Stegostoma tigrinum: one gene and its partner. The protein of the gene in region 2 interacts with the protein of the main gene of each other region in a pairwise test. Links are inferred from orthologs where the notes say so. Each region holds a gene or a part of one and is shown on either strand. Other genes may lie near its edges. The genes, in order: transcription factor SOX-30-like and cfap206.

The links.
Region 1: the proteins of cfap206 (region 2) and transcription factor SOX-30-like interact in binary tests that used the Homo sapiens proteins (3 or more experiments, as listed by UniProt). The two-hybrid records come from large-scale screens. The link is inferred for Stegostoma tigrinum from reciprocal best matches to the Homo sapiens genes CFAP206 and SOX30.

Annotation. Positions count from the first base shown.
Region 1 is NC_081366.1:70,473,490-70,489,456, reverse strand, and holds the start of transcription factor SOX-30-like, read right to left. Parts: upstream 8,381-15,967; coding exon 8,324-8,380; intron 6,499-8,323; coding exon 6,081-6,498; intron 3,631-6,080; coding exon 3,391-3,630; intron 1,326-3,390; coding exon 1,137-1,325; intron 1-1,136. UniProt on the Homo sapiens protein: Acts both as a transcriptional activator and a repressor. Binds to the DNA sequence 5'-ACAAT-3' and shows a preference for guanine residues surrounding this core motif. Binds to its own promoter and activates its own transcription.
Region 2 is NC_081357.1:39,377,012-39,392,960, reverse strand, and holds the start of cfap206 (cilia- and flagella-associated protein 206), read right to left. Parts: upstream 7,336-15,949; 5' UTR 6,989-7,335; intron 6,882-6,988; 5' UTR 6,881-6,881; coding exon 6,773-6,880; intron 1-6,772. UniProt on the Homo sapiens protein: Essential for sperm motility and is involved in the regulation of the beating frequency of motile cilia on the epithelial cells of the respiratory tract. Required for the establishment of radial spokes in sperm flagella.

The DNA of each region.
Region 1 (15,967 bases), on a different chromosome or scaffold from region 2:
TCTTCTGCTCACCTCCTTTGCTCCCATCTCTGGGCTGGGTCCAGCCAAATTTTCTGTTCCTTGATCAGCAAAGGGTGTCAGGTCACCAGGGTAGTGACTGCAGCTTTTTGGTTTTGAGTAGAAGAGATCTGAGATTCAATTTACAGCCAGACTCTGGTCTTCTTCTACAGGCAGATGTTGCAGCTATGAGACCAATTTTATTTTGAATGGGGAGGAAGACAGGGTTACAGTCAGATGAGAGGAGGAATGGGAAGTGATAATAATAGAGTAGGAACAGGGAGAGGATAGAGAGACAGGAGGAGAAGGAGAAGAATGGGAAAGGGTAAATGGGACACAGAAAGGAAAGAAGTGAAGAAAGGGGACAGGGAGAGGGTAAGTGGGAAAGAAGAGGAACAGAAATTGAAATTATTAAATAAATAAATCATATGCAAATATAAAGCATTGTAGGGCCAATAAAGACAAGAGAGCAAGGGGAGTTAATGGAGAGTTGAGGAGCTCTTTAGACATCAATAGAAATTATGATGAATTATGTTGGCCTCAGTCATAACGCTGGGTTGGAGATGGGCATTGAGTGGTTAGGCTGGGTGGAAGTGGAGAAAAGTAAAAGTGGAAAGGGGACTATGAGAAATGGGTGAAGAAGTGAAGAATCTACCTCAGAGAAAGAAAGGTAGCAAGTTACCTGTTTCGACCTTAATATGGTGATTGGAAAAAGTAAATAATTTTTGTTCAAGGGTAGGGTGCAGACGGTCATTTATTTCTTTTCTCAAACATTGCCTTGATGAAGGTTTATTTTCTGTGAGCATATAGCCACACCGTCTTTGTGCCTTTTAAATTCCATACTTTATTTTCTCATCAGTGTAAATATGGTTACCATTGCTGTGTCCACATTGTGGCTTTACGTGCTGTCCCTTTACTGTGATTCTCTCTGACCAAGGAACGGCTTTTGCAATCATGAAGATACATTAAAAGGCTACTATGTAACATATGGTATCATGTCACTATCGTGAAAATTCTTTATTATGCTTTTAGTGCCATCTACTCATACCATTAGAATCTGCAGCTTAATCATCATTTTACAAAATAGATATGTTGAACTACACTGTTTAATATCAACAATTATAAATTTCACAACTTACCAATAACTGATGGACGGTTGACATTTGTTTGTAAATTCGGAATAACTACCGAATAGGTGGCAGGCCGATAAGGGTAAATGGTTGCTGGAGTTGTCGAAACAATATTTTGACCACTGCCAGGAAAAACATTTGAAGGAACGCCCAGTGCAAATCGTTTCTTTTTCCCTGGTCGTGGCTGGTACACCCATCCTAAGGGGAAAAGTTAATGTAGTAAATTATAACACGAAATTTTCATGAATTCAAACGTTAAAGTGTACAAATTTTAAAATAAGCATCATTAATGCATCAACCATCAGAAGGCTTCTGAAGAAATTACCTTTGATACCATACCATGCAATGACAACAGCCCTTACAATGAAACTCGAGCTGCGCTACATGGCCTTAAATGTTACCGATTTCAGAGGAGAAGCAGCACAATGACCCTACTGAGTTACTGAGTGTTAGCTAGGTTTAGCTGGTTGAATGCTAGATTGGGGTTCTTAAGATTTTAAACCTAAGCGTCAGTAGGGTCATTGTGCTGCTTCTCCTCTGAAATCGGTAACATTTAAGGCCATGTAGCACAGCTCGAGTTTCATTGTAAGGGCTGTTGTCATTGCATGGTATGGTATCGAAAGTAATTTCTTCAGAAGCCTTCTTATGGTTGGCAACAAAGTGGAGTTCAGTATTATTTAATGTAAGAATCTTAGTCCAAATAAGATGAACCTCTTTGCTTCTGATTTCTAAAGGAACATTTTCATTTTTTCACACAATGCTGCTCTTTCTTTTTGCCAGGTATTTTTGCACGGTGTGATTTAAAACAATGAATCCATTTTGATCTGGGCCATTCAAATTATCCTTCTGGAATAATGATCTTACAATTTTCCTATAACACGTTTTTAATATCCACAGGGAAAGGTTGACAGGAGCTCCCTTTAATGTTTCATCAGAGGGTGGCTTACAACAAGAATGTACATGTGTATAGCACCTTTAACACAATGAACTTTCTTAAGGTGCCAGAACTGGGAAGCACTTCCTCAAAACTGGGCTGCAACTTCAGCCTCAGATGTAGGTACAAAGATTGATTCATAGTTCAAACCTCTAACCTTTAAGTACCAATGCATTGTTTCCTGTGCCAGGACATCAGAGGGAACCCGACAGTCTCTTGGATAACAAAGTGTAGAGCTGGATGAACACAGCAGGCCTAGGGTCTAGGCTGCAAAAGTCATCTTTCTTGCTCATCTGATGTTGCTTGGCCTGCTATGTTCACCCAGCTCTACACCTTGTAACCTCAGATTCTCCAGCATCTGCAGTTTCTGCTATCTCCGATAGTCTCTTTCACAGTATTTATGGTGAAGCAAAGGATCCATGTTTTCTCACTCAAAAGTGAATTTACTGAGAAAATTTTTTAACACAAAAAAATACAGACACTTAAAAGTGGCAAAAGTATAGTAGAGATAATGCTAAATGATGATACCACCTGGAAAATTATTGAGATTCTTCACTGCATTATGACAGTTGAATTTCTCTAAGTAATAGAAGTTCGTAAGTTTCTAACAATATTTTTACATAGACATTAGAGGAATATTTTCATGAAAAATATGACTCATAAATTTGCTTTCTGTTTCAGTGTTAACTTTTCAAGTTGAATTTTAACACTAAAAATGGGTGGAATAGAGTTGTATAAGATACAGTTGTGTAAGAAAATATAACAAATTGATACATCTATTTCCAGTTTCAACTGAGCCAGGACAAAAAACAGGTGGCAGATCTGATTCCAGGAGGTGAAGAGGCAAATTAAATTACATTAAAGCTGGCAGACCTTGCAATCCTGGTAGCGAAAGGAAGATAGGAACATGATGCAGAAAAGTGCATTTATAGCACATCTTGTGGGTCAGGAAGAGCAGAATGCTTCCCCCAACCCTGGGTCCATCAATTTCCCTTCTCTCCCATAGAAAGGTCCATAGAATTGGGATTTGGATTACTTCCTTGAAGCAGACCATCTCCACTGTATTCTGAGCATTGGGAGCCAGACCTAAAGTTTTTATTCTGAGAGCCTATTGCTGTGTTCAACCCACAAGGCGTGAAAGGCAAACCTGTCAATAAGTGACTTCTGAGTCAGGAATCTGTTAAGCATAAAAGATGCAAGCTTTGGTGTTTCAAAAACTATACTCCCACTCGTCCCACAACTGTCTAATCCTCCCCTGTTATTATCCAAGACTTCATCTTTACTTCACGTTAAAAAAAATCTACGTATTCTAACTAGCTTTTAACTCACCAGGAAATTCTTCCCTGTGTTTCTCTTTTATTTTTTGTGCTTCATCATAGTAGGGTTTCTTCTGTTCTTCTGTCAGCTTGTTCCACTCCAGGCCAAGTTGGACACTAATTTCAGCATTATTCGCATTGGGGTTTGCCTTGGCTAATGATGGTCTGTGAATTCGAGCCCAAACCATAAATGCATTCATTGGCCGTTTTATATGCCCACTTCTGTCTTTGGAGGGTGGCATATCATTGATTTCTAAAGCCAGAACAAAGGGAGTAACTGTACAGATGGTTGAAAAAAAATCATTGGAGTAATGTAGTATGTTAAAGAGTTTTATTGAAAAAGCCTTAAAAATCCTGAAAGCATTAGATTTTTGTTGTGTGTTGGGTGTACAAAGTTGCAAGCATGCCCAGCCGTGTGAACCTTTCTGGAGAGCGTATTTTTGGTGCTGAGGCTGCTAGGCACAGAGGAGAGGGTATGCTGGGCAGAAGGCCTACTTTGGCATAACATCATTGTATGAAGTTTCAGAAAGAAAGGGAATATTAAGTAGCCCACCAGTCTCACCCCTCATACTTTTTCTCCACAAGCATTCCCCATGCCTCATCCATGCCAACCCCACTCCACATCTCCACGCCACACCACCTTATTCCCATGCCAGCTCATGCCTCTTTGACCACATTCATGGGTCTGATATCCTCCACACCAATTTGTGGCAGTGTACCTGCTCATACATCCCTATGCCAATATTGTGCTAATTAATGCCAACCCATGATCTCCATTTACCATCTGTTGACCTCACATCTAGTATGCCATTTCACCTGGTAGCCACTTTTGACAAATGTCAGCGCCTATGCAGGCATATAGTAAGATAAGTTTCCATAAAGTTCTCAAAGTCTATTGTAGACTTCACTCTAATGAAAAAAAAACACTCTCCTTCATAAAAACCTACTTATTACATTTATATTTCTTCAACAACGTCATATCAGGATGAGTTTAAATCACTGATTAATTTGGATTTGCTGACTATGTGAATCATGGCTCACCCCTTTCCTGTACTAGCAATAATTGGATGTCAGAAATGGGGAGGGGACTTTCCATGCAGGTTATGCATGCCATTTTTACAAATTTGAAGTATTTTCTTGACTCCACAGAAGTCTGGCCCTGCGTGCATCAGTCAAAAATCTTCAAACAGATTGGTTAGAATGCTCCACTATTTTTTTCTGTTTTGCTCATAATTGCACTGCAGAGGCACTAGGTTACAGCACATCTCCACAAAAAATTCTGTCGGCAACTTTCAGTGTGATCAACAGCCAGAGCCGTCCCTTTGTTGCTGGCAGCAAAGTCTGAGCTATTAACTGCAGCCCTGAGAAGCCTTTGTCCACTCAGCAAATTCACAAAGATTGCACTGGTTGACTGTTTAGCCTTCTGCATGATTGTTGTCCTGTCAGGAGAAGGAGGCCCGGTTGTTTCCAAGATAAGATTGACCCTAACAGGAGCTTGGAACTAAGTGAAGCCACTGTAGAAAACTAACCCAGTTTCTGAGATATAGAAGCTGGTAGGATTATAGGGCACTGTTGATGGTTAACCTAACCAGGCTCATAAATAGAAACCCATGTCACTAAGGGTTCAAATTGCTACCATACTTCCAAACTGTATAAATAGTCTTCCTAATGTTTGGACAGTCTATGCTGGATGTTCTGAACTTGAAACCTGCTAACTTTTTAAATTATAGTAGTATCCCAATGTTAAAGAAAGTGGAATATACTCTTGATGAGAGTGCGCGTACTGCACTGCTCAACAGATGGACAGAACTCAATTAGCTTGGTCTGGAATCTCTTAAATATTCTGAGGTGCTCATCTGCATAACAGGTGCTTGGTTAATCAATAAGTGTAATCAATATATGTAAGTGTTGGATTTAGCCAATAAGGTACTAAGTGAACTTGAAAATCTTGGTTTAATTCTGGTCTGTGCAAACAATTGATCACAGATATGGATTAAACGTGGAAGTAGAGTGGCTTCAGAATTTGCATGAGGAAGTTTAGGATAAACCATTTCTGAAAATGCGAAACTGTAGAGTTCGGTGAAAACTTGGTTCTGATTTATCCTAATCATGTATTTCCAACGTTTGCACTTGAAGATTGGCCACTTCAATTAGGTGCTACTGACAGCCTCGGAACAATAACCCAAAAGCAGATTTTGTCTTGAAGAGAGGAATATCAAGAGAACAAGAGGTGGCAGAAAAACTGCTGCAGGAAATATCTGTTAATACATTTAATTAATCAGCCTATAATTTGTTTTAGTTCTCCAAAATGTTAGTGTTCTTCAAACATCCACTCTCTCATGAATATTTACTAAGCTTTCAACATGCATGTGTTACAGCTGTCATCCTGAAAATTAACAGTTTGCTACAATAGGAAAAAAATGCCATTAAAAAGTTCCTCACAATCATCATTGCTCACATATTTTAAAACAATAAGTATCAACTCCTCAACCCAGGACAAGCAGCAACATGCTACTCTCACATTTTGACATTGCAGTACTCCACACAAAATGTGTATGATTTATGAACATTTATGATTAAGATTGTGGCTGGTTAGCAAAATGTTCATTTTGATGTTAAAAATATCCCTCAAGAATACACTGCATTCAAATAAAATTCAAAGAAGACATTATCCATTAACAATAAGGATATACAAAAGGGTACCTGCTTCTGTAGGAGGAACGGTAAGGGGAACATTTATAGTATTTATTTTCAAGGATGGATCCACTTGTGTCTGTAGCCTGATGTCACTCAGATTGTTTGATGCTAGTGGTCCAGATAATTTGGCAAATTTGACCACATCACATGTGGAAGATGATCCTTGAAGTTGAAGTTTGATTCCAGGTGGAAGTGGGTGTAAAGTTATAGGCAGTTTCAAATCACTATGTTGCGTCCCATCAGTCCCATTCAGATCCTTCAAGAACAATAAATCTTTAGTCTGTTGAGTTCCTCTGTTGGAATTAGAAGGTTTATAATGCTCATCATCTTCCAATTTTATCTTTTCATTCACATGTTGGCCAGGAATATTTTGATCACCAAAGTCTTTTCTTGAGTTTAACCCTGAAACAAACTTATTTTCACTCTGAAAAACAAATGTAAAATTATGTCATATTAAAGAGAAAATAAGGAATGCGATAATTAGTTTAATATTTGAGCTCCTTGTTGACTCAATTAATTAAAAGGGTCAACATGTATTGTGAAACGATTCTATAGAAACTAGATATTCTGAGGTTCCATCCTAAATCCACAGAGTGAGAGTTCAAGAAAGCAGTGAGATGTGGAGATTGATATCAAAGCCACAGATCTACAATGAGGAATAAAAAGCCAGAATGCTACCACCCAATCTATTTGGTGACTCCTGACAGAAACAGCACGTGGATGGATGCTTTGTTATGAATGAGATTCAGAATGTGATCCATAGGTGAAATCCTTGTTGAGACACATGATCAATGTTTGCACATGAATTTCATGCCAGCAAAAGCAAAATCTGTAAGAATGTAATTTTTAAATTTGTTTTTGGTAGTTACGGAGTTAAGAAGGCATTATAGAAGAGTATTAAACAGACAATTAATCTCACAAGTAAGGCAACATAAAGACAAATAAAATCATAAAGAAGGTTAGGACATAGCCTAATAAAGCAAGTAATGGCAAGGATCAATATGTGCCACTTTCAACATTACTTGCTGCTTTTGCTTCCATTTATGCGAAGACCACTGTAAAAGAAAATTCAACAGGAAAGATAAAGGCTTTCAAGCTACTGCTTCTCCACCTCCTTGTTCAATGATGCATTAACATCAGTGCGGCTGTCCAGGGATGTTTCTCAAACATGGTATGACTCAAGGGGTTTCCAACGACGGAGGTTCAACTCTGAATGCCTCAATACAGCTAATGTATTCAAGAAATCAAAGTTACAAATTAGGTAAGAGAACAATTTCTAATAATAAATGTGTTTTTTGGGGCTTTTTATTCCCTTTAATTTCATAAATTTCTCAAACCAAAGGCTAATCAAGCAAATAACTATATAATGCTACATCTATCCCTACATTGGGAACTGTGACATGTGGTTATGTTACAGGATTAATAAATACAAAGGCCTGTTCTAACAATTCAGAATCATGAGTTCAAATGCCATCTGGCAACATGGAAACTTAAATGCAGCTAATTACATTTTCATGCATCTTTTAGATTGATTAGTCCAATGTCCTCCTGGCTGATTTCCCACACAGTATCCATCATAAACATGAGATCATCCAAATCTGCAAAAACCTCCAAGTTCCATTCATTTATCACACCTATGTTCACTAATCCTCCAGATTAAGTGAAGTTTTGATTTCAATTCTATTTCCTGTTTCAAATCTCTCAATGGCCTTGTTTTTTCATCGTCTATGCAACCTTCTCCTTCCAACCCTCTGAATATATATGATCATCTAAATCTGCTGCCTAGTCCATTCCCAATTTTAATCATGGCACCAAAGCACCATATAAATATTAATTGCTGAGGTATGAACAGAAAGCTAGCATCAATAACAGTGATAATGATAATGGTGACATTTGGTTCATTAATGTCTTTTGTTTTAAAAAAATCTAATATTCTTACAGTCTTACTTAGTCTGATCTGGAAGTGGCTCAGCAATTTGAATAAATCTTAACTGTTTTTGGAAATTGTCCAGCAAGTCACATAGAGTTGAATTTTACATTGGGTGGAATGCTCTCCCATGGCTCAATTGAGGCTCTTAAGTGGCAATTAATGCTTGACAATAGGCTTCATCTTCCCCATTGGAATGTCAATATAGAGGCAATGGGAGAGGCCTGTGCCCCATGTGTAGCCAAGCAAGTTACACACCGTCTGTCACAAGTCAGTGAAAGGGAAGTGCCTCAGTCTGAGGCCAATTAGAGACCTTTTTTACCTTGCCAGATTTATTCTCCTTTACTGTTCTTTCCAATATGCGCCCCAATGTCCACATCCACACCTTGTAGTAATTAAAGTGTAATTTTCTGAAAAATTAAAGTTGGGTGAGTTCACTAAGTGGAGGTGGACTTGCTCCTAGCATTTAGGACAGTTTTCCTCCAGCATCTAGCCCACCAATTGTCAAGAAAGTGGCCCAGCACCATGTTTTCAAGGGATGGACAAGAAAGGCCAGTTTTGATGCCAACCTTCTGTAAATGAACAAAGTAAATCAATCATCTTTGACAAGTTTGCTTCATTGTGTTGTTTTCACACTAGCTTTGCTGCTATCTGAACAGCTAAGACTTAATTCTGTTCCTACTCAGAAATTTATTCAAATTTTTCTTGAAGCTATTGATCAACACTTTGTCAACAGTCATCAGTTGAGCTTAAGATAGAAAGACAACTATGGTGACCAGCTATGATGGGTTGATGGAACAGTGTATTCAGTGACCGAGTATGCCTGTTATGCTAGTCAAGTTGAGAAATGCCAACATTGGTAACTCTTTTAATTTTGTTCCAACTGTGCCAGCATGGTTGACTTTTATCAACAACTTTTCTGCCTTGTGATCAGAAAATATCTGCTACGTGTTATAGGAGTACTCCTAAGCAACAATTAAATTAATGGTGAGTAAAATCATGCAAGGTGTAAAGTCTGTGTCCATCCTGAGTGAAACTAGTTTGCCTCTGGTGGGTTAGGTCATAATTTGGTCCAATATTGTATGAATTAGCAGAGTAGTCTCTTACATTGTCTGTCTTAAGTAACTGAAAATATTGGTAAATTTCACTATATTCTACCTTGAACAATTTTTTGTTAACGAATGATAATCAACAGGCTTATAGAGCTCCTTGATTTCTCATTATGTAAAGTTTCTGCTTGGTGTTGTACTGTACCAATACAGAACAGAATATAGAGATGTTTTTGTATTGAGTTAACTGATCTTAATTGGGGTGAATCATACTGATCACAATCTCCGTGAGTTAGGGATGGAGATACAAGGAAAAGACCAGAATTCCCAATTTTAAATTTTGAGTGACACTAGCTGGGAAGTACACATACATTGGGCAGAGTCAAAATCAAATCCAATTAGATTTTATTTCCTGGCATGTCTGTCTGTTAAATAGTTTTAAGCACAGATTGTTTTGTACTCATTTGTAAGCAAAATGTTCTGGAGAGCTGATGGTAGCTTTGGAAGAATACTCTTCTATGAATCTCTATCTTCAGAAGAGGAGGGGAGAAAAGGGAAAGAACATGAGAGGTCAAACATAGTACTAGACACACTATACAAATCAACAAAAAAATAGCTGCTGAACCAATGCACATACCATCCTGATTTGGAACTATATCATTGTTCATTCATTGTTACTGGATCAAAATTCTGATGTCTCTTTATCTCACAGACTGCAGTGGTTCTCAAGGGCAGCTCACCACCACCTTCTCAAGGGAAATTAGGAATGGGCAGAAAATGCTGACCCAGCTAGTAAATGCCTTCATCTCATTAATGAAAAGAAGGTGGTCTAGCACTGGGAAAGGGACTGAATATGCTATTCCAGATGCATGTAAGGCTAATTTCAACTTGGATGCATGAAGTACTTCTTAAAATATTGTGCTACACACCATATACAATTCAAAACAACAGGCTTAGTTTTAACAAAACTCATGCACTTGTGCAAAGACTAAACCAGGACTAAAGCTTTACAACATTGACTGGCAGCATCATCAACACGCAGTACAATACAGAAAACCAATGTCAATGAGCACCATAGTTGTGGTTTGGACTGTCGTGATTTGCAAAAGATTATATGCAGTCACTGCCTTACTAATCTAAATTCAATTCAAATCATATCAGTCAGTGTGAATAATTTGTTGAAATATGTCAACTGTTCTGAAGCACTGTGTTTGCCAAGGAGAATTTCTATTTACTCCTGCATCGGGAAGTGGAGAAATAGTGGAGTTCACGAATATAAAAAAAGCCGAAATGTGGAACTTTTTTGGAGGTTATTTTGATATAAAACCTATTGGCATTTGTATTTATACAAATACAGTTATTTATCCACAGATACAACAATAGTTCTAACTCCTTTGCCCTTTATTTTCTTTATTAAGATGAAGAATTGTGTTCAGAGAATATATTTCTGCAGCTTTAACAATGCAAGCCTTTCATCGCTATGCTCAAAAGTCAACTTATCTTATTCTTTTCTCTCCTGGGCAATTGCTGAATTGATTCTATTCATTGAAAATACAGATGTTGCTCCCAGTCAATGTTGTAATGCTTTGGACCTGATTTAACCTTAGCACAAGCACATAGGCTTTGAATAGGTTAAAATTAAGCCCATTGTTTTGAACTGTACATGGCAGCTCTGTGAAGTAAAATCAGAGTTAACATTTTGAGTCTGGTGACTGTTCTGAGGAAGGATGCTGCCAGACCTACTGAGTTTTTCCAGCAACTTCTGTTTTTGTTCTGTGCCATTCTGCCTGATTATGGGTTATCTCTACATATCCTCTGGCTCCCTCACCTTCCTCCAAATCCTCTTAAAATTGCAACTGAATTAGCATCTGTATTAAATATTCCCAGCAAGGTACTGTGATATATGTTGACATATGTAAAAGGAAAAGATTTTTGTTTCTAGTTTCTTTGGAGATAAAAGCATCTGGTCAAGGCTTTCCATTGAATTTTGCTGGTACAAAATGTTTAAACAAAAGGGGGATTCTTTGTAGTAGAGAAAGTAAGATCTTCAATTAACAGTCAATATTCTAAATTTCTAACTTCAAGTCTCAAAAAGTAAAGTAATCATTGTTATTTTCCTTCACTTCATACAGGTAATAATTGATGATAAGTGATACTAAGACAAGATTCTTTTCAGAAATCAAAGTTCTACCCACAACGCCCCCAGCAAAAGTTTTTACAATCTAAGCCATTGATCATTGTGTTTACTTATAGGCACCAAAACTTGATCCATAAGAATGATCTGTCCCATTTTATCCAGCTTTCTTAAAAAGCCACAATATCAAGTATTCATGTATCCAAATGAAATGTATTTACATGATCAAATGAAAAGAAACCCTCAGCTTTGTGAGATATATCTCTACTAATTCTAGAATTGCCATTTTATTCGACTAGATTCCAAAACTTTACAATTTTAATTATTGTTGTCGTACACAATATAGTGTCCTTTACAAGACAAGCTGTAGCAACTAAACAGAGACAAATACTATTGGTCCACGAAGATTTACTTTGTAATTAATTGTGCATGTTCATACGAATGATCAATTCTTGGTATAGCTATTATAGTTTGCAGTTAATATATATTCCAATGTGAATTAAGCAACACCTTGCCTCCTATACTTGTATTAAGGATTCCTTCACTTCCTCATGGTTAATGAAACAAGATGCTGCTGTGATCTTGAATGAATAACTGTAGGTGTCTCCTGGAGCTAATGTGGCTAACTGAATTGTTGAAATCTGAGCATCAAAGCACAATGAGGAGCAGATTATTCAGTTTAAACAAGAGTACCAAGATAAAATCTCTCAAATGGAGGTATCGTCCATAGGATTGATATAGAAGAACGTAATGAACAACTGATGTTGTACTTTCAATGCTCCACCATAATCCGAGAGTATGAAGATAAAAGAATGCAATCCCAATATGCCATAGGATAGCTAAATAGTGAATGTTGTTGCATAGGCTGAAGCACAAATATTGAAACCGTGGACTCCAATTTTTTTTGCATTATCACAAAGGGTGGTTGTCTTAGCAGGTGAACCAAATGATATTGTGAAAATCCAGTAGTTCTCTTCTATATCATGTCAAGGTGTTGCCATTTATATCTCTGCAGAATCAGCTGAAGGTTACCTTCAGGTAAATGTGGGAAACCTTCCAGTGGCACTCTAGCCGATGTGCCACTCATCCTGAAAATGATCCTGTGGAGGGTATCTCCAGTAAAGATTTCTCCCAAAGTCCAACAGATAGGTGCAAATGTAATCTGTAAATAAGAAAGCATGAAATGAGAAAAGGCCCTTCAGGCCATTAATGCTTTTTTTCCCCCAAAATCCTTGTGCAATCCATTCTAGTGCAGGTACCATGATATGTATTTATTTACTTCAGGGAATGTTCTCTGGCAAAATCTCTCCCTGACCTCTATTCACTCAAGGAAAACGTCAAAAAATCCAGTTCTGTCCATACATTGGATACATTTTTTTAATGGAATCTGTCCCACATCCACTGTTCTGTTGGAGAAGGTCCTCTAATTTAGCTTAGTAGTTGCAGGTCCAGTTTTGTGCTCACACTGCCTTTTTACATCTATATTATTCAAACTTAACATTTTGTAGGGCTGTACATGATCAGTCTTCTCCAATTAAAAAAGTTCTGCAACTGCATTCATCCTTGTTACTCTTCTCTGATCTCTTCGTAGTATATCAATTCCATTTGAAGGCAGCACGCCCTACGTGTAAAATGCTAATACTGATCTTAGTCACTCTAAAGTTAAGATAATTCGACTTTCTTATCCTACTGTTAACTGCTCAGCATTGCAGAAAATGTGTAGCAATAACATCCAAGTAGTTCTCTTCTGATAGTTTGTCAATAAAACCAAATTAAATGATTCATTTCACATTCTCTAATGTATATTGTCTCATGTTCAATCACATAAAACTTATTCCATAAGCCATTCAGTTATCTTTTTGAAGTTGCACATCTGTTCTATCTGTTGTGTTATGTCTTATAGTTAGTATACAATATATACTTAAGGCACATGCTCATGATAGGATTGTTGTGTAATGCCATGAGACCTCATGGTATAAAGACCTCACTCTTCATCTTATTGAGGCCCTTTTCAGCATGACATGCTGAGGGAAGTGTGCTACAATTGACATTCAAATTGCTTAGCTGTAGCCCGCCCACACAAGATTGTAGCATATGTAAATACCAGCAGCTGTAACGAAAGGTTATTGAATCATTCAGTATTATGTTATCCATATCTCATTCTTATGTTACAGAGCCTAATATAATTATCACCTCATCAGGTATCTCACTGAACGTAAAAAGCATATCACAAACCATAACAGAACATGAGGACAGAACAGATGTAGGTGAACAGTGGTGGCTGTTCATAGAGAAATGACTCTAATATCACATAATGCAGCATCTTGGTAGTAGCCTGGTGTTGAGCTTCAGTACCCACTTGTAAAAGGATCCAGAATTCTGTCTGCAGTATCTTGGAAACTCCACTGAAGATTACACAGCCCTGGTCTTAAAGCAAAGACTGACAGCAACAAGCTTATGTGAGTACTCATCTGCAAACAGAATACCATGGAGGCAGCCTTATCTTCTTTCTATTTAAAAATCTATCAAGTCATTAGTTCCATAGCGCTTTTACAAGAATGATATCAGCTTGCTTCCTCATTAGAAAATAACATAAGCAGCCTAAATGATTCAATTAAAGTAAGTGGGCACTGTTAACTTAACTATAGAAACCTCTTGGCTGGAAAATTTATTCTGATGTTACAGGAGCCACCAAAAGTAACATTTGATCGGATACAAATACTCTGCTCATGGTATAAAGCTCATCACTAGCTACAAGAGGGCGTAACAGAGCTGGGTTCGCAGCACCGGCCATTTACAAAGAGATGACTTCCAGGTATCACATCATACTGGTAGTTATACTTTCATGAAGATAAGTGAAAGGTCATGTCCATGGTGGAGAGCACTACCAAGGTTGAAAAAAGTAGAATGGTAGATCAGGTAAACCAGAACAAACCACTTTCAAATATATCAAGGAGATAGCCTAGACCCTAACTTTTATCCTATTTAAATGTAAGTATAAGGTGTTGTGTTCCAGATTTAATTTGAATAGGTACACGAAGCTTTAAGCAAAACACGTTATCCTTAACCTATATGGCTAAAGTATAAACAACGAAAGACGAATAAGTGAACCTTTAACTTGAGTGGAAAATTTAACAGAATAATAGGTTTTTAAATTATTAATCAGCAACTGTTCCAATATAATAATATCCCATAGATACACCCTTGGCAAAGGCAAATTCAGAAAAAAAACAGATTTTCTCACATGTAATCCTTCTCCAGTCCGGGAGAAAGGAACATCAAGAGAAAATTCTGGCAGAGAGAAAGAACTCAAGCATTTTTCCATAGCCGGGCGAGATGTATGGCAGTTTCAAAACCCCAACAACTATTGAAAGCTAAACTAAAACCCTGGCTCTGTGGGAGCCTGACTCCATCCATTCAAGCTGTTTCTGTTGTTCCAACGTAAAAACAAACCCAAGCCCTCACAAGCTGTTTACTTTATTGGCTTTGAATAGACAGCCCATCACCAATGGCTCAAAACCTCTCTTAAAAAAAAGAACAAAATACATAAAGATGGCTTCATTTGAAAAAACCTTTAGTCTTATTAATATGCATACATATTATATTGACACTAAGCATGTAAACATTCAATACTATAGTCTATTTCAGTAAGTTTCATCCACAATCGAACACCTTTGTCTTCTGAAATCAACATTACGACAACATGTCAGCAATTATGTTCTCTTGTCCTGCCATGTGTATATTTTTCAAATTAGATGACAGTAACAATAAACTCCACCTGACTAGAAATCCTAAATAGTCTGGTATGTTTATCTTTAAACTTTTTTCAAAAATGTACAATTGTTTTAGATATTACTGGCAACATAAATGTTGAAATGTTGCAACGCCAACACCAAACTCAGGATCTCTTTCTCAGTTTTGGAATATTTCTGTTGATCAATATTTAACTATCTCAAAAAATACCGATACATCTTTATATCTTGTTGTCGTCTTCTCACAAGAGAACAGCACTGAAACCCACATCACTCACATTGATAACCACCTTGAATGGCTTTGTATAATTAGCTGTGGCTAACAGTGGAGCAGCAGTTAACACAGCTTTCAGACTCTCTAATGTCTTTTGACATTCCTCCATCCGCTGAAATTTTCTGCACTTCATCAGCAAGCCAATCAATTGAGCAACCACTCTGCTAAAATTTGGTGTTGATTTTTAATAAAAACCATTCGGTTCCAGGAATCGTAGTACTTTCCTCTTTGTTGATGGTATGGGAAACACCCCAATAACATTTGTTTTCATATCCTGGGGGGCCATCTGTCCATGTCCAATGATATGGCCTAAGATGTCTTAGGCTTTTGTGAACTTGCTCTTAGCCAGGTTTATCACCTGACCCGCCTTCTGTAGTTGATTAAACAATTCTGATTGATACTCCAAATGTTGCTTCCATGTGTGACTAACAAACACCAGATCATCTATGTACACCACACAGTTGGGTAACCCGAAATGATTTTATTGGTTAGTCTTTGAAATGTAGCTGGTGCATTTTTCATTGTAAATGAGTCATGGAATTGTACAGCATTGAAACAGACCCTTCGATCCAAATCATCCACGCTGACTAGAAATCCTAAACTGATCTAGTGTCATTTATCAGCATTTCGCCTATAGCCCTCTAAACCAGCATAACTTTAAACTGATAAAGTCCATTTAGTATCGCTAAAGCTAAAATTTCCTTTGCTCAATCAGGTAATCGGTATCCTTTGAATAAGTCCAACTTAGAAATATAAG
Region 2 (15,949 bases):
AAGTGGAGTTGCGGGTAGGCAGGATAATGAAAAAGGCATTCGGTATGCTTGCCTTTTTTGGTCAGTGCATTGAGTACAGGAGTTGGGAGGTCATGTTGCAGCTTTCCAGGACATTGGTGAGGCCACTTTTGGAATACTGCATGCAATTCTGGTTTCCCTCCTATCGGAAGAATGTTGTGAAACTTGAAAGGGTTCAGAAAAGATTTATGAAAATGCTGCCAGACTTGGAGTGTTTGAGCTATAGGGACAGGCTGGCTAGGCTCAGGCTATTTTCCCTGGAGCGTTGGAAACTGAGGGGGATGTTATAGAGGTTATGAAATCATGAACGGCATGGATGGGGTAAATAGGCAAGGTCTTTTCCCTGAGCTGACAGATTCCAAAACTAGAGGACATAGGTTGAAGGTGAGAGGGGAAAGATATAAAAGGGACCCAAGGGGCAACTTTTTCATACAGATGGTGGTGTGTGTATAGAATGAGCTGCCAGAGGAAGTGATGGAGGCTGGTACAATTACAACATTTAAAAGACATTTGGATGGGTATATGAATTGGAAGTGTTTTTATACGTATATGGGCCAAATGTAGGCAAATGGGACTAAATTTATATAGGATATCTGGCTGACATGGACAATTTGGACCAAAGAGTCTGTTTCCATGCTGAATATCTCTGTGACTCTATAAGAGTCAGCTCCTGTATTCCTGCTACCAAAATGTATAAAATTTCTGAAAATATTTCCACATTACACTCTATCTTCCGAGCTTTTGTCCACTTGCTTGACATCTCTATATCCCTCTGCAGACACTTGTTATGGCTCTGCAGATTCATCCTCACCACTTGCCTTCCCAATTATTTTTACATCATCTGCAGACTTGCCTGTAGCATGTTTACCTTCATTATCCAGTTATTAATATATATTGCAAATTCAGTGTTGCCACACTGAAAATGTCTCCTTTATCTCAACGCCTGTCTTTTTTTGGTTAGCCAGTCTCTGTGCTAATACATTTCTTCCAACACAATGGTCTCTTTTCTTGTTAAATATCATTTACCTTATCTTTTCAAATAGTGTTATCTTTGCAAATGCCTTTTGAAAATTCATATATATATATTACATCCACTGCTTCCCCTTTATCTGTCCTCCTTGTCACACCCTCAAAAAATTTGAAGAAATTTGTAAGATATAATTTCCCCTGTATGAAGCCATGCTTGATTGTGATACACATTCCTAAATGTTCTACGATTACATCCTTTATAGACTATTCCAATGTTTTCCCCATAACATACATTAAGCTCACTGGCCAAAATTTACCTGCTTTTTGTCTTCATCCCTTTATAAACAAAGGTGCTACAGTGGCCGTTTTCTAATCCTGTGACATTTTTCCAAGATAACAGAGCATTGACTATATCCCCAGCTATTTCTTTTGAAACCTAGGACACATCTCTTCAGATCCAGGAGACTTAACCGTTTTTAGTTCCATTAGTTTCCCCAGCACTTTGTTAAAATCTAGTGATAGCTATTGTATTTAATGGTGATGTGTGAACACAACTTTTCACAAGTCATATTTTGAACAGGTTAATTGGTGTTTAAGAATGCATGAACCTGACTGTCCGACATTGATAAAAGGCACAAAAAAAGGCAGATTAGAAAATATCTACTTACCCATTCAGGTATGGTGCAGTGGGTGAGTGAAGTCTAAACATTTAAAGATTTTGCCCTAGTAATATGAAAACTAAATAATTGTTCAGACTGGGGCAAGGAAAAGTATGGACCAATCTGTTGCTTTTGCTGGTAAAATACTTCCCACTGCAGAAAAGGGCCAGGTATATTTTGGAGTGGAAGATGGGAGTGAAAGACCCACTCTAAATCAGTGAAGATTGCTCCAAGCACATTACTGCTGTGGGACAGTTGGCTTTTGAGTTGACAGCCTCATCCTCTTCACTCAGGGGCTGAATAGGTTTTTGCATGACATGTAGCCCATTGAACCTGACACACAAGGGTCTTTCTCACATCAAACAAACTACATAAGGAGATGCAACTCTTCAAGTGCTATAGGATGTTGCAATGAAGAGATGTTCTGAAACCATCAAGGTTGCTATAAAAGAGTATTGGATACACAGAGATAAGGTGATAACCCAAAATGGCCAAGAAACAACACACAAAGAAACAAGAGATGAGGCAGGATACATGAAACACATCCAGGCAAGCCATCAAGGAACTGAGTCCATCTTGAGGAAGGCAAGAGAGCGCTCAAATAGTCAAACATAAACAATGAGATTAACAACCATAACAGCCAGTGTAGCACTTGTAACAAATATCAAGCTGAGCAAACTAGAGAACTTCCCCTGGATGAAGCTTGTCATAGATTATTTTGTTGTTTCAGGAACAGAATATTTCATCACAAATGACGATTCAGATTGCTGAGCAGTTGACCTCAATGATCACCAGTCAGACTATAGAAAGCCTGAAAGCACACTTCCGACATTATGGCCTTCCTGAAACTCTGAAATTTCAAACAACATCAGCCCTCATAGAAACATAGAAGATAGAAGCAGGAGTAGACCATTGAGCCCCTCGAGCCTGCTCCACTACTCAACATGATTGGGATGGATCATTGAGCTCAATATCTTGACCCCTCTCTTCTCAAATCCCTTGAGCCCTTTAGCCACAACAGTCATATATACCTCCTTCTTGAAAACACATAATGTTTATGAGGTTATCTGTATTCATGAATAGTTAGGAGATTCTGCACTACACATCATTTTTTTTATTCATTCATGGGATGAGGACATTACTGGCTAGACTAGCATTTATTGCCCATCCTTAATTGCCCCGAGAACAATTAAAAGTCAATCACATTGCTGTGGGCCATTGTGGACCTGGAGTCACATGTTGGCCACAAAAGACTAAGACAAAGGAGCAGAAATTAGGCCATTCAGCCCATTGAGTCTGCTCCATCGTTCAATCATGCTGATAATTTCTCAATCTTAGTCTCCTGTTTTCTCCTCATAACATTTGATCCCCTTGACAATCAAGAATATATCTATCTCTATCTTAAATGTGCTCAATGACCTGACCTCTGCAGCCTTCTGTGGCAACGAAATCCATAGGTTCACCACTCTCTAGCTGAAGAAATTTCTCTTCATCTCTGTTCTAAAGGGTCTTCTCTTTGCTCTAAAGCTTTGCCCTTGGATCCTAGTCTCTCCTACCAATGGAAAATCCTCCCAACATCCACTCTGTCCAGACCATTCAGTATTCTGTAAGTTTCAATTCGATCTGCTCCTCATTCTTTTAAATTCCATCGGGTATGGTCCCAGAGTCTTCAAATGATCCTCATATATTAAGACTTTCATTCCTGGGATCATTCTCGTGACCCTCCTTTAAACCTGCTCCAGGGCCAGTACATCCTTCCTGAGGTATTGGGCCCAAAATTGCTCATAATCCTCTAAATGTGGTCTGACCAGAGCTTTATATGGCCTCAGAAGTACATCCCTGCTTTTATAGCCAAGGCCTCTCAAACTAAATGTCGAAGTTGCAATTGCCTTCCTAACTACTGAATCAACCTGCAAGGTTATCTGAACAGAATCCTGGACTTTGTACCTCAGATGTCTGAATTTTCTCCCCATTTAGAAAACAGCCTATGCCTCTATCAGGTAAGGGTGACTGTTTCCTTCCCTAAAGGTCATAATTGAATGAGATGGGTTTTTCTAGACAATTGGCAATGATTTCATGGCCATCAGTGGACTATTATTTCCAGATTTTTATTGAATTCAAATTCAATTAAAAATCTGCCTTGCTAATTACACTATGCCATCACATCCCCATGTACCTTCCTAAGTCCAATCGAAAGGTTGAGACAGCAGTGAAAATTGACAACAGCATCATCTAAAATGATGAAATTCAGCATTGGAGTGAACAAGGCAATCTTATCAGCAAGGGATAAATCAAATTCTTGCTACTAATGCTATTAGAAAAAGAGGGAGTCAGGGCCACTTTGAGCCCCTTGAAAGCTGATAACAATGAAATCGTTGCTGAAAATAATGTAATGGCAGACCTATTGAATAATTACTTTACAAGAGTATATTTACAATAGATGAAGATGTTAGCATGCTAAAGAAACTAATGCTATTCATGGACAGGAACTAATAAAATGAACACAAGCAAAATAATAGGACTAGAGAAACACAACTCCTTGAGGCAAGGAAAGTAGTCCAACCCAGTGACTAATATCACTCTGCACCTACACGACTTTTCAAAAACAAAAATCTACTGAACCAATTCCTAGTAACAGAATTGAGTGACAAGATCAATGTGAAATGGCAGAACGCCAAATTCCAATTTGAAAACGCAGCCAAATTACTGCCAGATCTGAGCTAGTCAGAGTACCAACATTTAACACTCTCAACATGTTTCAGCCCACTTAACAATTTGGGGACCTGTATAAAGCAGTTATAGAACATAGAACAGTACAGCACATACAGGCCCTTCAGCCATGATGTTATGCCTATCTATTATCTGACTGAGATCAATCTACCCTACATACCCTACATTTTACTATCCTCCATGTGCCTATCCAAGAGTCGCTTAGAAGTCTCTAAAGTAACAGACTCCACTACCACTGCTGGTAGCATATTCCACACACTCACCACTCTCTGTGTAAAGAACCTACCTCTGACATCTCCCTTATGCCTACCTCCAATCGCCTTAAAATTATGCCCCCTCGTAACAGTCATTTCCACCCTGGGAAAAATTCTCTGGCTATCTACTCTATCTATGCCTCTCATCCTCTTGTAAACCTCTATCAAGTCACCTCTCATTCTTCTTCGCTCCAATGAAAAAAGCCCTAGCTCCCTCAACCTTTCCTCATAAGATCTGCCCTCCAATTCAGGCAGCATCCTGGTAAATCTCTTCTGCACCCTCTCTAAGGCTTCCATATCTTTCCTGTAATGAGGTGACCGGAACTAAATACAATATTCCAAGTGTGGTCTAACCAGAGTTTTATGGAGCTGCAGCATAACCTCATGGCTCTCAAACTCAATTCCCCTGCCAATGAAAGCCAACACACCATTTGCCATCTTTACAACCCGATCAACTTGGGTCGCAACTTTGAGAGATCTATGGACGTGGACCCCGAGATCCCTTTGTTCCTCCACACTGCCAAGAATCCTGCCATTAACCCTGTATTCTGCATTCAAATTCGACCTTCTAAAATGAATCGCTTCACACTTTTCCGGGTTGAACTCCATCTGCCACTTCTTTGCCCAGCTCTGCATCCTGTCAATGTCCCGTTGCAACCTACAACAGCCATCCATGCTGTCCACAACTCCACCAAGCTTCCTGTCATCAACAAACTTACTAAGCCAATCCTCCACTTCCTCAACCAAGTCATTTATAAAGATCACAAATTATTAGTTATTGCCTAGATTATACATAGTGAAAGTGAACAGCAAGAGGTAGCATCGCAACCGTAGGCGTATACATGAAACCGGAGAAACTCTCATTCACAGCAGACTGCTGGTAAGGCAGGTTTAATTTTGCAAACAAGGAACTGAACAATCATCAATCCCAGAAGTCAAATATTTCCCAATAAAAGCAACAGATCAGCAGCAACAAATAGCACCACACAACAGAGTATTGCGACAGCATGACTCAGAAAAGCAATGTCAATCCAGGAACCAGGAGACACCAGACGAACAGACAACAAAGAATCCGGTGCATATAATTAGAAAAACTGAACATTATGCATGAAATACATGTGTAGGGGCAGGTGAAATTGAAAGAACATGTAGATATTTCTTGATGCAAGAGATTATTCACGATAGATTATGTATGTTGAGTAACCTGCAATTTATGGAGCATATAAAAGTTTTTCTTGTAAAGGAAAGGGGGATGAATGAACAAATATCTTTGTATACTTTGGCTGAAATATTAGAGTAGCCTCTGATGTAATTCATGTAAATACAGTACTCATTTTATACTCCAGATTCATACACTATGCACAGCTTACTCAGCTCTGGCTGTTTCTGCAGTATACCGGACTGCACACCAAGACTTTGCAAGCTGTGCACCTTTCTGGTTGAAGACGAGATGAGGTGAGATACTTGTACAATATTGTGATCTGTACTGCTCGTCCTTAATCAATGGGAAGGTAGTGAGGACAACATCGATCGAGGCAGACTGTGAGCCCAGTGTGGTGCTTCGTTGGGGACTGGGACTGCCCAGTTTGAAAATTCATGTGTTCTACAGAATATCAGAGTATGCGCTCCTCACCAGGCTTGCGATAGCATAGATAGCAAAGTGTGAAGCTGGATGAACACAGCAGGCCAAGCAGCATCTTGGGAGCACAAAAGCTGACGTTTCAGGCCTAGACCCTTCATCCCCACCCTACCTCCCCACCCATACTCTCCTCTCCACCTATCTTCTCCATAATCCATCTTCTATCTGCCTCCCCCCTCTCCCTATTTATTTCAGAATCCTCTCCCCATCCCCCTTTTCTGATGAAGGGTCTAGGCCCGAAACGTCAGCTTTTGTGCTCCTGAGATGCCGCTTGGCCTGCTGTGTTCATCCAGCTCCACACTTTGTTATCCTGGATTCTCCAGCATCTGCAGTTCCCATTATCTCTTGCAATAGCATAGTTACGTTTTTTCTGGATTATGAAGTTCGATTTTTTTCCCAATGCTCCTGTCCCAAACGGTAAGTAACAATTGCTGTAATGAAGAACGTATTCACTTCAGTAAAACGCAAATAACTCATCAGAGTACCAATCTTACTGCACTCACCATGAACGCTACAAGAGTCTCAGAAATGGAGTGTCCTCTATCAGCGCACTCCTGGGCTATTTCCCGAATGATATTCTTAATCACACATTCAGCCTGGGTGTAAGCCATCCTGCAGGTTTCAAACAGGGGGAAAAAAGACGTGAGGATTTAGATAATGGAAACATCAAGAGGAGGACACACATTAACAGCAGTTTGTTCAGATCAGCCCTTCACAACCTGCTTTACAAACGGTCACATTCAGCTGACAAAGTTCCGAGCTCTTGATCCTTTCCTGGGTGGATGTTACTCTCCGTTTCCCTCCTCCTGTTGTTTCGTGTAACGATCCCGTTACCCTGGAGACAGACATCAACCGACCAGCCTGATTGGTTGACGTCAATCCCCTGACGTTCTTACGCACGTGGTCACGGTGGCGATATTCGATGAAAGATGTTGCATTGTGTTTTCAGCATAGCTGCAAAACGTTGACTCGGATTTCTCTGCACGGATGCTGCCAGACCTGCTGAGCTTTTCCAGCAATCTCTATTTCTGAGATAATGGGAACTGCAGATGCTGGAGATTCCAAGATAATAAAATGTGAGGCTGGATGAACACAGCAGGCCAAACAGCATCTCAGGAGCACAAAAGCTGACGTTTCGGGCCTAGACCCTTCATCAGAGAGGGGGATGGGGGGAGGGAACTGGAATAAATAGGGAGAGAGGGGGAGGCGGACCGAAGATGGAGAGTAAAGAAGATAGGTGGAGAGGGTGTAGGTGGGGAGGTAGGGAGGGGATAGGTCAGTCCAGGGAAGACGGACAGGTCAAGGAGGTGGGATGAGGTTAGTAGGTAGCTGGGGGTGCGGCTTGGGGTGGGAGGAAGGGATGGGTGAGAGGGAGAACCGGTTAGGGAGGCAGAGACAGGTTGGACTGGTTTTGGGATGCAGTGGGTGGGGGGGAAGAGCTGGGCTGGTTGTGTGGTGCAGTGGGGGGAGGGGATGAACTGGGCTGGTTTAGGCATGCAGTGGGGGAAGGGGAGATTTTGAAACTGGTGAAGTCCACATTGATACCATATGGCTGCAGGGTTCCCAGGCGGAATATGAGTTGCTGTTCCTGCAACCTTCGGGTGGCATCATTGTGGCAGTGCAGGAGGCCCATGATGGACATGTCATCAAGAGAATGGGAGGGGGAGTGGAAATGGTTTGCGACTGGGAGGTGCAGTTGTTTGTTGCGAACTGAGCGGAGGTGTTCTGCAAAGCGGTCCCCAAGCCTCCGCTTGGTTTCCCCAATGTAGAGAAAGCCGCACCGGGTACAGTGGATGCAGTATACCACATTGGCAGATGTGCAGGTGAACCTCTGCTTAATGTGGAATGTCATCTTGGGGCCTGGGATGGGGGTGAGGGAGGAGGTGTGGGGACAAGTGTAGCATTTCCTGCGGTTGCAGGGGAAGGTGCCGGGTGTGGTGGGGTTGGAGGGCAGTGTGGAGCGAACAAGGGAGTCACGGAGAGAGTGGTCTCTCTGGAAAGCAGACAGGGGTGGGGATGGAAAAATGTCTAGGGTGCACCTACACAGGCCCCAAACCCCACCTCTTCCTCCGGTACATTGATGACTGTATCGGCGCCGCCTCTTGCTCCCCAGAGGAGCTCGAACAGTTCATCCACTTCACCAACACCTTCCACCCCAACCTTCAGTTCACCTGGGCCATCTCCAGCACATCCCTCACCTTCCTGGACCTCTCAGTCTCCATCTCAGGCAACCAGCTTGTAACTGATGTCCATTTCAAGCCCACCGACTCCCACAGCTACCTAGAATACACCTCCTCCCACCCACCCTCCTGCAAAAATTCCATCCCCTATTCCCAATTCCTCCGCCTCCGCCGCATCTGCTCCCACGATAAGACATTCCACTCCCGCACATCCCAGATGTCCAAGTTCTTTAAGGACCGCAACTTCCCCCCCACGGTGATTGAGAACGCCCTTGACCGCGTCTCCCGCATTTCCCGCGACACATCCCTCACACCCCGCCCCCGCCACAACCGCCCCAAGAGGATCCCCCTCGTTCTCACACACCACCCTACCAACCTCCGGATACAACGCATTATCCTCCGACACTTCCGCCATTTACAATCCGACCCCACCACCCAAGACATTTTTCCATCCCCACCCCTGTCTGCTTTCCGGAGAGACCACTCTCTCCGTGACTCCCTTGTTCGCTCCACACTGCCCTCCAACCCCACCACACCCGGCACCTTCCCCTGCAACCGCAGGAAATGCTACACTTGTCCCCACACCTCCTCCCTCACCCCCATCCCAGGCCCCAAGATGACATTCCACATTAAGCAGAGGTTCACCTGCACATCTGCCAATGTGGTATACTGTATCCACTGTACCCGGTGCGGCTTTCTCTACATTGGGGAAACCAAGCGGAGGCTTGGGGACCGCTTTGCAGAACACCTCCGCTCAGTTCGCAACAAACAACTGCACCTCCCAGTCGCAAACCATTTCCACTCCCCCTCCCATTCTCTTGATGACATGTCCATCATGGGCCTCCTGCACTGCCACAATGATGCCACCCGAAGGTTGCAGGAACAGCAACTCATATTCCGCCTGGGAACCCTGCAGCCATATGGTATCAATGTGGACTTCACCAGTTTCAAAATCTCCCCTTCCCCCACTGCATCCCTAAACCAGCCCAGTTCATCCCCTCCCCCCACTGCACCACACAACCAGCCCAGCTCTTCCCCCCCACCCACTGCATCCCTAAACCAGTCCAACCTGTCTCTGCCTCCCTAACCGGTTCTTCCTCTCACCCATCCCTTCCTCCCACCCCAAGCCGCACCCCCAGCTACCTACTAACCTCATCCCACCTCCTTGACCTGTCCGTCTTCCCTGGACTGACCTATCCCCTCCCTACCTCCCCACCTACACCCTCTCCACCTATCTTCTTTACTCTCCATCTTCGGTCCGCCTCCCCCTCTCTCCCTATTTATTCCAGTTCCCTCCCCCCATCCCCCTCTCTGATGAAGGGTCTAGGCCCGAAACGTCAGCTTTTGTGCTCCTGAGATGCTGTTTGGCCTGCTGTGTTCATCCAGCCTCACATTTTATTATCTTGGAATCTCTATTTCTGTTTCGGTTTAGCCGCACTTGGCTCCGACTAGACACCACTAGATAGATCTCCAGAGAGCCAGAGGCCAAGTGCCCACGATGGTCATCCAGCTGATAGCAACAAAATAAGAAACCAGTCTGCAGTGGGCTAAACTGCCTGCCCTCTTTCAAAGTTGGTTAATTGGAAGAAATATTCTGCCTGGAGTTCATACCTGTGACAGAGCTGACTTAATGGAAGATGTGAAAAATCTAGCTTGCAAATATAAAGGGATGCAGATGGATCAGTGAACAGGAGACTTTTTGAAGCAGATAAACCTTCCCAGTGGCTGAGTGAAGCTAGTTTACAGAGTGCACTGACCTGGATGCTCAATTTTTCTTACCCAAACAGGATTAGCTGCAGAAGTGCTATCTTTAGTTTATTTGTGCCAAATGGGCATTGCTGGATGGGCCAGCATTTATTGCCCATCCCTAATTTCCTTTTTAGAAGATGATTGTGAGCAACTTTCTTGAACTGCTGCAGTGCATGTTCTGTATTTAGACTCACAATGCTGTTAGGGAGGGAGTTCCAGGATTTTGACCCAGCAACAGTGAGAGAACAGTGACATATATCTAAGTCAAGTTGGTGAATGGCTTGGAGGGGAACTTGCAAATGGTGGTCTTCCCATGTATCAGCTGCTTTGGCCTTCTAGGTGGTAATGACTATGAGTTTGGACCATGACTCGAAGGATCCTGGTGAATTTCTGAGCTGCATTTATACACTACATATAATACATGGTATACACTGCTGTTATTGAGCGTCAGTGGTGGAGCAAGTGGACGTTTGTGGATATCCATCAGGAAGTGGTCAACACATGGCATTTTTGAGACCCTGCAGGAAAAGGAGGGGATGGATCCTGTCAGGTTGTTTCCTGAGAAGACTATTAAAGTCATTTCACAGAATGTCTCATCACCAGAACTCTCCAACATGCACCATGACAATGCTTGGCTGGTGGTGAGAAGGGTACTACCTATGAGATCCTTCATGTACGCCCAGACTCTGTGCACCACTGCATGCTGCCCTCGAGGTTGCTGTGGGACAGACAGTTTAGTCACTGTCACACACCTCCTGAAATGTACCTTTGCAAAGGAAGATGCCATGGTTTTTGATTGAGGTTTATCCTGAGCAGCTCCATGACAGGATTCTGTGCTCTACGGTCTGTTCCCCAAGATGCACACAAAAACAAACATTGACTGCGCCTAGAGGACCATCAATGCAGTGAAAGGCTCTCTTTGGTCTGCCTGAAAGTTGCTGGTCTTCCAGAGAAGGAGTTGACCTCGACCATGTGTTGCACGCTGATACATTCCAAGGTCCAGGTTTGCATGCTGAGGGATGCACTAAAGCTTGGGGCACTGGCTACCAAGGTACAGTGGAGAAAGACCACTGACTAAGGTCTTTCTGCCAAAGTTAATTGGGGGCCTGTTCAGTTTATCATACTTTCCTGGTTCTTCAAATGTATGTCAATGTAGTCTCGTACAAATAAGAGATGCCTTTGGAGTTTGATCCACCTTGGCATCCTCCTGAAATATCTAACTATGTCTTGTCCTCAAAAAATAGATCAAATCCATCCCATCCAGTTAACAACTCACCAGTCTACTCTCAAAGTGATGGAGGATGTATTGAAAGTGCTACAAAGTGGCATTTACACAGAAATAATCTGCTCTCAGATCCTCCGTTTGAGTTGCATCAAGGCCACTGCTGATCTTACTGTAGTCTTGGTGCAAACATGGATCAAGTTAGAGTGACTGCTATTGATACTGAGGCAGAATTTTACCAAGTATGTCATCAACAATAGTTAATTTACTAAGAATCAGGGTAAAACTCTTCAACAGTTGGATTCATAGCCCATATAAACAAAGATGGCAGTATTTGATGGGGCAAATCATCTCAGTCTCAGACATCTGTCCAGGGTTTCTTAAGGTACTGTGCAAAGCTCAACCATCTTCAGTTGCTTCTTCTATGTCCTCCATCTTAAAGGTAAGAAGTGGGAACATTTGCTGATGACTGCACAATATTCAACGTAATTATGACTCCTTAGACAATCCAGCTGAAGGTGTCCATGTACAGCAAGACTTGGACTGATAAGTGGGGAGTAACATGCATTCCACACAAGTGGGAGGCAATTGACCATCAACAACATCTAATCATCATTTTCCTGAGTTTTATATTGGTGGAAGGGATAATATTTTAAGAAAACTTTATAAACATTGCCCAGTTAAACAAGAATATTGCAACAATGAGTCCACACAGGTATCACTAAAAGCAATGTTTAATTTAAAAAATACTTTTATTTAGAACAAAAGATAAAATTGTGCATTGTACAATACTTCAGTCTTATTTCAGATTGTGGTACAATCTAATATTTTACAATTTTAAGAGGACAAAAATACAAAAGGTCCTGCTCATTATGCTTTGCTCACCAGTGATATGTTTGATTATTTGCACAAAAATGTAACAGTATATTATCTCAAGAATTAAAACCATCAACACTACTGTGACTTATGAAATTGTGATAAACACAAATAGAAAAAGATGTTGATTTCTACAAATGAATGATAATGGTAGTTATTCTTCCCTGCAGATCACATCTGTGTGTGTATTTATAGTAGGTACTGGTGGACCTTGCTACTGCTGACTTTGCTTACGGTAAATTGAAGGATATACTGACTTACAATGACAGAATATATTAGAGAGGTTCATCTCCAGTACTATTTTCCTGAACAACTAAAATCTCCTTACATAATTCATTTCTCTGGCTAAATTAGATAGTTACCAATTTTTTAACTTGCGTGTATTTTCCCTTTCATCAGATTGTCTGTTCCACCTTCGCCTTAAAGAGACCTACTGATTTTACATGGCTCTTGTGTATGTTCCTTTAATGACAATCTACTCAATTTCAGCATCTCATCAAATTGCTTTAGCCACACATACAGACCTGAATGAGAAAGGATAGTTGAGGAATATAATTGTGTATTTTGTAGCAGTTCTTTGTTCCCGATTCCCAGGGAATCAGTAACTAAAGCGACTGGATTTGTTCATAGTAATACTATCAGTCAAATATTTGAGCACATTAGTGTGGTCAACTGAACAGGAAAGATATTGCTTCAAAAGAGTAACATATTACCAAAGCTTTTGTCTTGCATTCATTGGGACAAATATGAGAAGGCTAAATTTCAAGCAATCTCAACAATTCAAATTGCAGGAGAAATAGGTAAGTTGATCCAGTTTGCCAACTAATCAGCACCCTTTTCTCCTGTCACATAAATGACTATGATTGTTTAAAATGTGTTATTTTTACAGTTGGCCTGCTGAGTGCAAGATGAAAAGCTTTGCAAAGTGTGAAGACTTGCACTTGGGCAAGAAGAATCAAAAGGCATCTTAAATGGTGAAACATTCCAAAAAAAGTGCAGAATGGCTGTTTTGTGCATGATACACAAAAAAACCATGCAGGTGCAGCAAATGGGATTTAGGTCTCCATTGCTAGAGGGTTGGAGTTTATGAACAGGGAAGTCTTGTTACAAATGTATAGGGCATTGGTGTGACTGCATCCAGAAGAAGGTGCACAATTTTGCTTCCTGCATTTAAGAACTGGAATTGGAGAGTGTTCAAAAGAGGCTGACTAGGCTGATTCCTGTGAGGTCGGAGTTGACTTATCAAGATCAGTGAAATAGGTTAGGTTTTTATTCATTAGCACTTAGTAGAATGAGAGATGATCTTAAATGAAATAAGCAAGATTCTGTGGGAAATTGAAAGGGAAGATAGAAATCATTTCTGCAAGCATAGGAAGTTTGAACTAGGAGTAACATTTATAGAATAAGGGAACACTCATTTAAAATTGAGATGTGAAGGTTTTTCTTCTCGCAGGGGGCTGTAGTGAATGCCTGGAACTCTCCATCTCCTCTTCCCCCACCGCATCCCAAAACCAGCCCAGTTCGTCCCCTCCCCCCACTGCACCAGACAACCAGCCCAGCTCTTCCCCTCCACCCACAGCATCCCAAAACCAGTCCAACCTGTCTCTGCCTCCCTAACCTGTTCTTCCTCTCACCCATCCCTTACTCCCACCCCAAGCCGCACCTCCATCTCCTACCTACTAACCTCATCCCACCTCCTTGACCTGTCCGTCTTCCCTGGACTGACCTATCCCCTCCCTACCTCCCCACCTATACTCTCCTCTCCACCTATCTTCTTTTGTCTCCATCTTTGGTCTGCCTCCCCCTCTCTCCCTGTTTATTCCAGAACCCTCACCCCATCCCCCTCTCTGATGAAGGGTCTAGGCCCGAAACGTCAGCTTTTGTGCTCCTGAGATGCTGCTGGGCCTGCTGTGTTCATCCAGCCTCACATTTCAATATCTTGGATTCTCCAGCATCTGCAGTTCCCATTATCACTCTCCATACTACAATGTTGTGGAGGCTGCATCACAAATTATTTATAGAGGAAGTAGATACATTTTTGAAATATCAGAGTTGACAGCTCTGAGAAGCTGCTATTTAAATGGAGTTGAGACACGGGGAATGATCTTAGAATGGCAAGTTAGCCTTGAGGGGCCAAATGTTTTACTTCTTATATTCCTAACATGTTGCTCTGTTCGGCAGTACTCAGGTTCTGCACTAAAAAGATGACTAAAATCATTTAAGCCAGTCAGAAAAATGTGCCATCTTTGCTGAAAGCAATACATCAAACTATTACATTTAAAAATATAAACATATAGACGTGATTGGCAAAGAACTAGTTCCCAGTGATTGCATTTCCTTCAGAGTTACCATGTTGATAACAGACTGGAATTTAACAAAACGTAAACCTGTTTCCAACACTGGTGATTCAACAGTTCCATTTCAAGTAGATCTCTTGGCAAATTTGATTCACATTTAACAGGATTTAAATGCAATACTGACATAAAAGCAAACAAAATTGAAATGCTGCAACAAGAATTGTAATAAAAAGCATTTCCCAAAATTATGGTCATTGTAACAGTCACATTGCTGTTTGTAATTGTTTTCAAAGGAGTATTAATTTCATCCTTTCAATGGCACATAAAATACATTCCTAAAATTGCCTAAGGGGTGTTTCTCTTAGAAGCAGCTAGTAGATTAAGGTAAAGTTACAAAGAATTACAGTACAAAGTTTCAAGGCAATTTATACGAGATAAAACATGTTATGAAATCAATGTCCCAGAAAAGGCCCTGTGATGGTATCATCCCTGATCTTAAAAATCAATAAAAAACTTTAATTTTTTTTTAGAAAAAGTGTTTTCACTTACGACTGGCCTCTAAAAGAGAGCCATTCTTTTGCACAGAACTGAATTCATGGCACTATCTCAATGCTCCTAAATTAACCAGTGATTGTATCCCAGGCAAGGATATATAATCAATGCAGAAAATATTTTAAAATTGTTTGTCATACTATTCAAAATCTGGGACCAATTTGAATGGACAATTGTCTGTGTATTCATGTTTTTAAAAATTATTTACTACACAGAACAGCTCAAGTTCATTCCCATGTAGAGATAGATTGTTCAAAACATACATTTTCTTCTTAATCACTAAATATTTCTTACAAATTACTAAAGATATTTAGCTCAGTTAATATCAAGTTGCTCCTTTGCCCTTTCAAGAAGGCAGATGAGTAGCTTGCATTGTAGTGTTCCAGCAACGTTCAGATGGCAGTCCAAATTTGGTTAAAATATTTAATTTTCTTCTGCTTCCATCTCTTCCGTTAACATAGATAATGTCAACAGTTCCAAATTCAGCATCTTCCCCTGCCCTCTCACCCTCATCCACAAGTACAACATTAACATTTGGAGGGGATTAACGTTTTAACCACATCCTCCTTCCCACTGAGGTCAGTGTTCAAATGTGCAGTACCGTTAGGATGCAGCAACATTCTTTTCCTCGTCCACAATACATAGTGGGAACAAAGCTTCCAGTAATAAACTTCCAACCTTAACCTTCAAGCACTGGAACATCAACATTTGTATCTCCCCTAGCAAACAAGGACAAGATGAAAACTTTATTTTTCCTGTTCATAACACCACCTAGATACAAGACAAGAGTAAAGTCACCTGCTG